Drosophila melanogaster: one gene and its partner. The protein of the gene in region 2 interacts with the protein of the main gene of each other region in a pairwise test. Each region holds a gene or a part of one and is shown on either strand. Other genes may lie near its edges.

Region 1 (4,948 bases), on a different chromosome or scaffold from region 2:
TACCAAATTAAAATTGTTCAAAAGTCGCTAGTTTCACTTGATTTACATATGCGTGTGCGTGTAGTATGTATATATGCGTGTGTGCCGGCCAATGTGTATCTGTAGAATTAGTCTTAAATCGAATGGATGAATTGATTGTCTGGGATTTGGGCATGGAGTTAAATATTCAAACACTTTGTTACGTAATTTTAAACGAACCCTCTCCGCTCCCAAAGAACCTGGTTAAGCAGACAATTCTGCACGCTACCGTGAATCCAGTTCGGAATCGAAAGGGAACGATCTTGGCCGGAACACACGCGTGGCTACAGATTTATATATCTATATCTATATATCTATTTATATATATATATATATATATATATAGATGGCAAACACTCTCGTTATCTCTTGTGATCGACTCAGTTGTTGTTATGAAATGGTAGAAAAGAGACGAAGGGACGGACAAATACGATAAATTAATGATGAATTCGGGTACAGAGATCGAACTTTTTTATCTAGCATAGCGCAACGGAAACAATGTCGAAATGAAGCACCGGAAACGGAAATGAAACCATAAGAAAACCCTGTATTGTATATCGCTCTATTTTTGATGTCCGAATCCAAATTTCCGAGAAAAAAAAATGGAAAGCAGAGTAAACAAAAAGAAATCTAAAAAAAACCGAAACACAAGCAAAAACAAAAACGAAGGGCGAAGTTTGGAGGAGATCAGCTTTTTTTGGCCAAGTCAGAGAAGGGGGAACGCTGAAAAAAGGGCAAATGAAACCAACAAAAGTTGCATTCAACAAAGTAAATAAAAATATTTTTATTGTCATTGCATATTTCTTAAGCTAGTACTTTTAATAACTAAATCGTAAGCGCGGAAAAACAAAGTAAATGAAAACACAAACGATAGGCCACAGCCCAATACAAAAAAGGATTCATAATAAATCGCGTGCCGAAACTAAAAGGATGGCAAATACAAACGCAGGCGAAAAATCTGTAGAAATTACAATATTGTTATAAATATTTGTCTCAATGAGAAAACAAACAAACGAAAACAACCAACCAACAAACAAACAAAAGCAAAACAAAACCAACAACAAAGAAAAATATACATTAAAAAATCAATAAAAAATATTTGAACAAATTCGTATGCATTTTCATCAGGATGGATGGGGTGGCTTTGGGGCAGTTGGAAATTCGTTTGTTCCAGTTTCCCCCAGGAGTGCTATCCATTCAGCTGGAAGTTGAGAGGAACCCAAATTGAAGCGCGTCACAGCGTCCGTTTCACAGAATGCTTTAATATTAAGTACTCACACAGCACACAGACTACAAGATACGAATAGATAGATACAAGATACAAAAAGTACAAGCGCATATACGCTTGGGATTACAAATATAAATACGTGTAGATCAGTCATAGTGAGTATTGGCGACGGCAAGATCCTGCGGAGTCTACGAGATGAACAGGTAAAGGACGAAGGTGCCCAAACCGATGTAGTGGCTGAGATAGCCAGCCTGCTGCCAGTGCCACAGGAAGGAGTCGCCATCCTCGCCGACTTCCAGGTCATCGCCCAGCAGCACGACGCCCAGATAGGCCAGGTGGAAGATGGCCAGCGCCGTGAATGCCAGATTAGTGAGCCTCGCCAGCCAGTAGGACAGGGAGTTCAATCGCCGTTTGCTCGGGCAGTGGCTATACCGACATCGTTCCTTGCCCGGACACAGATTGGCAGTGATGCAGGCATTCAGGAGGCTGGCGAGCTGCCGCCTGAGCAGCGATTCACCCTCGGCTAGGAACGCCAGCGAGATGAGCACCAGATAGATGCGCAGATCCATGCCGTGCAGCAGGCTGGACACCAGATAGGTGGAGAGCACGACCACCAGGATGCGTCCCCTCGAGGTGGACGCGGTGGGCTTGCAGGGCGCGTAGATGTACCGTTTGAGCCACTCGTGCATGGGAATGTTCCAGCTCCGGACCAATGAGCTGATCGAGCGCGGCCACTCGATGCGCCAGGGCTGCGAGATCAACGGACCCAGCATGTCCGACTCCTTGGTGGCACCGTCCAGTCGCTGATCGGAGGCTACCAGCAGCGCCTGCGCCATCATGCCCACAAAGTAGTGGCTGCTGCGCACACTCAGTGCGTCCCAGTACATGACCAGGAAGTGCGAGCTATCCCCGAAGAAGTCACTCAGCGCCGGAGCCACGCAATTGGACACGGTCACGGCCAGCACGCAGATCACCACGTTGGGCAAGAGGCGACGCAGGCTGACCAGCCAGCTATTCCGTGGCACCAGACAGTCCATGTAGCAGCCGAAGCTCACCCAGGGCCCCAAGGCGCAGGTGGCCGGACTGTAGATGTAGCCCAGGTAGGCAAACGGACCCGGAATCCTCGCCTGCAGCTGCCCACTGGCGGTCAGGTCGAAGCCCAGCGAGATAAGCTTCATATTGACCACCATCTGGATGCCGCGCAGCTGTGGCCAGTCACTGCGCCGCCGCCAAATGAGCAGTTCGTACAGGAACTGGCTGCCCACGGTTAGAACGGCCAGAACTTGAGCTCCTCTTCGTCCCAGTCGCAATAGCTGGAGCAGCAGGTAGCCCACGGCGGCCAGCAGGAGAAGTAGGAGCAGTCGGTAGCCCACCGTGATCTGCAGTATAATCAAGCCGCAGGCGAAGTGGAACAAATGCAGCGGTGCCAGGCTGGTGAGGCGTCTGCGCTGCGAGTAGAGGAGGCACAGCAGGCGGCACAGGAGGCAGAGGAGCAGCATGGGCGCCACATACTGCATGACCTGCAGCACAGATGGCTGCACGCAGCTCTGCAGGCTCTCGAGTAGGCGCCCGGCCAGCTCCAGGACACCGTGTCCATCTACCACCAGCTCCTCCTCCACATCGTCCCCGCCGAAATAATAGTCCTCCTCGCCGTTTGGCTGCCCAAATCTGTGGTCCAAGCTGCCGGCTGTCACCACGTCGTCATCCTCCTCCTCCTCGTCCAGATCAATGTAGTCCGATTCCTCCTCGAAGTACTGGTAGTCCATCGCCGGCCGCCCAAAGCCAATACAATCCGGGGGAATCAAGGAAAAACCCGGAAATCCGAGGACTTGGAATTATTTGCAAAGAATATACCGCGCAATATACCGAAAATACCACATCGGTGGCTTCGAACTCATAGCTAGTTTATAGCTAAGCTGAAAATACCAGTAGCTTAAACAGTTTTAAAAATCAAAATAAAAAAAAATGTATTAAACTTGTAAAACTGTTTGTTTTGTACACCAAGTGATGAAAAGGTTTTGTATCAGCTTATAGCTCGTTGTTTTTATCGGCTATTGAGTTGGCAGATTTCAGCGGATTTCCATTGCGTCTCAGCTTATTTAGTGATCAAGATACGGTCACACCGTATCTAGCAGTAAATAAACTATTTTAAGCAGTTTATTCAAATTTTTCGCTGCCAAATCCAGGAAACTCTATTGAAATGACTCGCCACGCACGTAACTGCACGGCCGGAGCCGTGTACACCTACAACGAGAAGAAGCGTGACGCGGCGGAGTCCGGCTACGGCACGAATGCCCAGCGCCTGGGCAAGGATTCGGTGAAATCCTTCGACTGCTGCTCCTTGACGCTGCAACCATGTCGCAGGCCAGTGATCACCAAGGATGGCTATCTATTCGACAAGGAGGCCATCCTGCAGTACATCGTGACCAAGAAGAACGAGTACAGCCGCCGACTGAAGGAGTACGAGCGTCTGCGGCGCGCGGAGGAGGATAAACTGAGCCAGGAGGCCAACAGCAAGCAGCAGGCGCGCATGGAGCGCTTTGTTAATGCCGAGAAGCCAGCGATGACACCCGCCCACTCCTCGGCCGCTGCCAGCGAGAAGCCGTCGACCTCTTCCGCCGCTGCTGCCGCTTCATCTGAATCCTCGTCCGCATCCTCGATATCCAACATGACCAACGGGCACGAGAAGAAGCTGCCCAGCTTCTGGCTGCCCTCCGAGTGCCCCAATGCCGGGTTAGCCAAGGCCCAGAAGCCCGACGCCACCATCTACTGCCCGGTGTCGCAGAAACCGCTGCGAGTCAAGGATCTGATTGATGTGAAGTTCACGCTGCTCAAGGACGGCGACACGAAGCGCTCGCTGATTGCCAAGGAGGCGCGCTACATGTGCCCCATTACCCACGACGTGCTCAGCAACGCGGTGCCCTGCGCTGTGCTGCGTCCCACGTGAGTGCTCGCTGGGATTTCGCGTTGAAAACCCTTTTAATAGTAACCTCTTCACTACAGTGGCGATGTGGTGACCATGGAGTGCGTGGAACGGCTGATCAGAAAGGACATGATCCATCCGCTCACGGATCGCAAGCTCAAGGAGAAGGACATCATTCCCCTGCAGCGAGTAAGTACATCGCGAACTGTGCAACTATTCTGCATTGCTAAGGTTTCTCGACTATTTCACAGGGCGGCACTGGCTACGCAACGACGAACGACCACCTCCAGGCCAAGGAAAAACGGCCCATGCTCCAGGCCTAAGACGAATTTATATAGCCGCCAGCTACTTGGGAGCACTTCAATAGAAATGTAATCGTTTTAGCACTAGCTAGTTTAAACAATCAATTATTTCTCCAGATTTTAAAACAATTGTGTATCATAACTTATACAAAACTTGGGTATTTTATCTGTTCCAATTCTACCTTTTCGTTTATTGCAAGACGAAGTGCATACATACTTATTGTTAAATAGGAAAAAACAAAATAAATACACTGATACTCGTACCACACAACCAATTAACCAGTAGTCCGAATTTCTATGGAAACAGCCCCGTCAAATGAAACCACTGCCAATCTTGGGGTTAAGGTATAATATTATATTCTTTATGTATAATTGTAACGTGTAATGTAAATTGAAGAAGCTGCAGCTGGCGGAATGCGGGCAGGTGGCCGAGTACGTCGTCTAGATACGTCGCTCCTGCTGGTGGCTGGTCGTCCA
Region 2 (4,814 bases):
AGCGCACATCCGGCGCCCGACAGCCTGGCGAGGCATCTGCGGATGGATAATGAAAGCGGGAAATAAGAACACTGGGAAAAAACAGTAATGCATATTATCACTTATAAATGAGAAAAATGTAAATAGATTTTGCTAAATGGGCTTTAATTGGTGTTAAAGTAAATATGTTAGTAATTATTTATAATAATAGACATTATAATATCACTTAGGCAAACAAAATTGCCATTTAGAAGTAATGAAATTATATAGCAGAGGCAACAATGTCTCAATCCATTGAATAAATCATTCAATAATCGCTAGTTTGCCTCAGTGAGGGTTTGCCAAACGAATTCACCCAAGACTTTGGCTTGACTGGAGGTAATGCAATTTCAAGTTTGCCAGAAACTCTTGCCATAAATATTTCATATGTGATCTAATTTGATAACTTGGCCTGGCTGGGAAGAACTTTCCACTTGACGTCGCCAGACTTTGAGTGCCATCGAAATTGCAAATTTCCAATATGCATTTGGAATGCAGGCAAGTAATCAGGAGGCGGAGTGGGCGGCGCAGAAGGTCGTGGCCCAAACGCACAGCTCAAGTTTCAATTTTACATGAGAGATGGAGGCCATGAGGAACTCGAGCAGAAACAGAGTCAGAGTCAGAGTCGGAATCGGAATCAAAATCAGGATTTCAGTCAGCTGCAGCGGAGAGCTCTAAAGTCGTGGCAGCATTTTCCGTTTTCCGCCATTTCCATCTCCAGTCGGCCTTCGGTAATCGCCGACGGTGGAATTAAAGTTTTCCCAGCCCAGCTCCGCCCTTTCCACACTTTTCCTTTTGTCCGTAACGTGTCATGCACTTTGTCGGAAAGTAGGTCGAGTGATGTATAATGGCGCTGGCAAATAAAATCACAGAATGCCATGTAATTGATGAATTGCAATCGCCAATTAGCAGTCCGGGCAAATGCAACAGAATGACAAAGGAAAAATGAGCTAAGGGCATCGGACACTGCCACTCAGTTGATTAAGGTGAAAGATACAAGTTAACTTTTTAAATATGCCATCTATATGAAATACTTTTAACAAAAGTTTAATGTTACCTAAAGCGAGAGTTTTAGCTGGATGTTTTATAAAGTAAAATTGCAATGCAATCATGCAATGAGAACTTTTTGCTGCATTCATGTTTATTCAGTTAAGCTAACAAACATAACATTTTATGGTATATAAGTTAAGTTTATTAAGTTAATAATTATCTCATAGCTGTGGTCTTGAACAGTTCATGAAAATAGCCTCAGATCTTGTATATTCAATGTGGATTGGGTATCATTTCATTAAAGTACTCCGATGATGTTTTTGGCATTTTTCACAAGCTCTGCTTTCGAGTTATTAAATGGCCCATTAAAGGCAAAAAAAAATATTTTATACGGGTTTTCTTACTACTGCAAATGACTTTAGCACGCTGTCGACCAAAACGACTTTAATGATCATTTGACTTCAATTCAAGATTTACGTTTTGTACCGTAAATAAATATAGTCAGTTCCTCGACTATTAGATTCCTGTTACTCAGCTGGTGGGAGTTTGAAGTAAATTTGTTAGGCATCTCGATGGAAATTAGCTGGGAAATTACAGATTTTGAATTTATAAGCCCAATTATCGGTTGTGAGAAATGTGTTTGATTTAGAGATAAATTATTCACTACTAAAGATTATTGCAAAGCACATTGAGCTTTAATAAATAAATGTGAACATTCTAGTGTATCGATTAAAATTAGACACCAATGAAAAGCTTATTGGGTGAACGTGAGATTAAATATCGACCAGCGGAGCGAAGAAACCAGCACACAAAAAAAAAAAATATATTCATACATGGGTACACTATTTATACTAACTTTATAAAATAGATCCAAATCTAATCAATTCTGTGCCGGTTCTCTGCGTTGCTGATAGTAAAAAGCTCGCGTGGATCGAGAGCGGGGAACTAAAAAAACAAGACCAAAACAGTGCTGAGAGCGAAGCCCACCGATCCAGTTCGCCCACATGATGATTTGTCTTCTGTGGATTTCGGTGGCCATACTTGTGGTCATCCACTGGATCTATAAGGTAAACAAAGACTACAATATCCTGGCCTTTTTCGCCCGAAGGGTTCAAACCAAGGATGGCAAACCATTGGACAGCTTAGTGCCCATGATCAAGGGCCGAACTGTGTTCGCCAACTGCTTCGATCTCTTAGGAAAAGACACTGGTTCGTAGAAGGTGAACATTGACATCGGGCTTCTTATCTTTATAAGACTTCTTTTCCCCTTGGTCTATTCGCATAAGTAGACCAGGTATTTACTCACTTACGCCAGTTGGCGAAGAACAGCGGAGACAGTTATCTGCAGTACTCCATGGGGTTTTCCAACTTCAATGTTATAGATGCGCATAATGCAGCGAACATATTGAATCATCCTAATCTGATAACGAAGGGTGTAATATATAATTTTCTTCACCCTTTCCTAAGAACTGGCGTTCTAACAGCGACAGGTGAGAAACGAAATCTGAAAAATGGAATGCTGGATCTAAAATTCTTTATTGCAGAAAAGAAATGGCACACGCGACGCAGTATGCTCACTAGGACATTCCATTTGGATATATTGAACCAGTTCCAAGAAATCTTTATGTAAGTGCCTTTCGTAACAATTTTTATTTTACAATATTATGGACTTTGGATAAGCAGTCATCTTTGTCTTACATTTGTGTTATTTTCCTTATTGTATGAACAGGCTTACATACTTATGAATGAATCAATTAAACTTTTATAAATTTTCTTTTTTCAGAGCGGAGAGCTTGAAGTTCGTAAGTCAGTTCCAAGGACAAAATGAAGTTGTGGTTTCTTTGAAGGACCGCATATCCCGATTTACCCTAAATAGCATTTGTGGTACCTAAAGATTTAATGTTTATAGTGGCTCTTTAACAATCAGTGATTTCTTACATAGAAACTGCCATGGGAATCAAACTGGATGAAATGGCAGAGAAGGGCGATCGCTACAGGGCGAACTTTCACATAATCGACGAAGGACTTACCAGGCGCATAGTAAACCCGCTCTATTGGGACGATTGTGTATACAACATGTTCACGGGACACAAGTACAACGCAGCTCTAAAAGTGGTACACGAATTTTCCAGAGAGATAATCGCAAAACGCAGAGTACTACTTGAAGAGGAGCTGGAAAATAGAAGAGCCACTCAAACGGCTGACGATGATATGTGAGCTTATTTTGAAATTACTTATTCACATTAATAAACTTCCTCTCTCGAAAACCAGATGCGTGATTAGAAAGAAACGCTTCGCCATGCTGGACACCTTGATTTGCGCCGAAAAGGATGGACTAATCGACGATATTGGGATTTCTGAGGAGGTGGACACGCTGATGGCTGAAGGTTACGATACCACATCCATTGGTCTGGTCTTTGGCCTAATGAATATGTCTCTATATGCCGCTGAACAGGAACTGTGCTACCAAGAGATCCAGGAGCACATTCTGGGTAAATCAGTTCGCTGCAATCGTAATCGTGAGAATCATAAATTTTATTCTTCGTACCGTTCTAGACGACCTGAGCAACCTGAACCTAAGTCAACTAAGTAAACTAAATTATCTGGGCTACTTTATAAAGGAAACCATGCGCCTGTATCCTTCGATTCCCATCATGGGTCGTCAGACACTCCAGGAAACGGAACTAGAGAATGGCCTAATCCTGCCGAAGCGCTCTCAGATTAATATACACGTCTTTGACATCCATCGCAATCCCAAGTATTGGGAATCGCCCGAAGAATTCCGCCCAGAGCGATTCCTACCTCAGAACTGCCTGAAAAGGCATCCTTACGCCTACATTCCCTTCAGTGCTGGACAAAGGAACTGCATAGGTAAGAGTACAAGTCTTCAAAATATACGGTTCTCATACATATGTGTATTATCTATCTCTTTTAACCACAAAGGCCAGAAGTACGCCATGCAGGAGATGAAGACCCTGATGGTGGTCATCCTCAAGCATTTCAAGATTCTGCCTGTTATCGATCCCAAGTCCATTGTCTTCCAAGTGGGCATAACCTTGCGCTTCAAAAATAAAATAAAAGTCAAGCTTGTGAGGCGGAATTGCGTTTAGTGTTTATCGATTTTAGGATATTCCTTATTCATGCTTACTAAGTGCTAAATTGATTTAAGTGCGTTGTTGATATTAGATGACTAATTAACCCTGACTCTCCAGTGCTAATCGTCGTAGCTTGGAGCCATACATTGGACGAATATTGTTAACAATAAAACCGGTTATCCCACATTCAAATGAAACAAGCTTTCATTCAAACAAACTAGCAAGTCATTCATTGTTTTTGTTAGATGAATTCAACCACAAATCGTAGCTAGTCGAACGCCAACAGCGGGAACGCCACCGTGCAATCTAATCAGTTCAAGCAGCTTTTAGGTGTAATTTTTGCTACAAAACCGGCTGATAGTATGAGCTGTTTATATAGAAATCTGCGATAGGTGCAATCAGTGTGAAACGAGAGTTCCGTCAACGCGGTTGTGCCAAAATGATTATCTTGTGGCTGATTCTGGCCCTAAGTGCCCTGCTCTACTGGCTCCACAGAGCCAACAAGGATTACCACATCCTGTCCTTCTTCACCAAAAGAATTCGATTAAAGGATGGAACCCCTGTGGAGATCATCGCTCCCATAGCCAAGGGAAAAACAATATTCGGCAACACCCTTGACTTGTATGGGCGAGATCACGGTGAGTAATAGCAAAAGCCGAACGCTGGACCCCATTTGGCTGATGTAATGACTGTCTAGCTGGTGTTTTCAAT

The links. The genes of interacting proteins can lie anywhere in the genome.
Region 1: the proteins of Cyp4p2 (region 2) and por interact in a two-hybrid assay, tested with the Drosophila melanogaster proteins (one large-scale study listed by BioGRID).

The regions. Positions count from the first base shown.
Region 1 is NC_004354.4:18,376,742-18,381,689, forward strand, and holds por (porcupine), read right to left. Parts: upstream 3,114-4,948; 5' UTR 3,013-3,113; coding exon 1,435-3,012; 3' UTR 1,386-1,434; exon of another isoform or gene 1,309-1,385; 3' UTR 780-1,308; downstream 1-779. Other genes in the region: CG6179 (uncharacterized protein), read left to right, coding at 3,447-4,189, 4,250-4,358, 4,421-4,492. UniProt on the Drosophila melanogaster protein: Protein-serine O-palmitoleoyltransferase that acts as a key regulator of the Wnt signaling pathway by mediating the attachment of palmitoleate, a 16-carbon monounsaturated fatty acid (C16:1(9Z)), to Wnt proteins.
Region 2 is NT_033778.4:9,235,540-9,240,353, forward strand, and holds Cyp4p2 (cytochrome P450 4p2), read left to right. Parts: upstream 1-1,972; 5' UTR 1,973-2,012; coding exon 2,013-2,217; intron 2,218-2,297; coding exon 2,298-2,498; intron 2,499-2,552; coding exon 2,553-2,634; intron 2,635-2,791; coding exon 2,792-2,892; intron 2,893-2,950; coding exon 2,951-3,221; intron 3,222-3,279; coding exon 3,280-3,500; intron 3,501-3,564; coding exon 3,565-3,879; intron 3,880-3,951; coding exon 3,952-4,118; 3' UTR 4,119-4,292; downstream 4,293-4,814. Other genes in the region: hig (hikaru genki), read right to left, coding at 1-36; Cyp4p1 (cytochrome P450 4p1), read left to right, coding at 4,543-4,741, 4,801-4,814. UniProt on the Drosophila melanogaster protein: May be involved in the metabolism of insect hormones and in the breakdown of synthetic insecticides.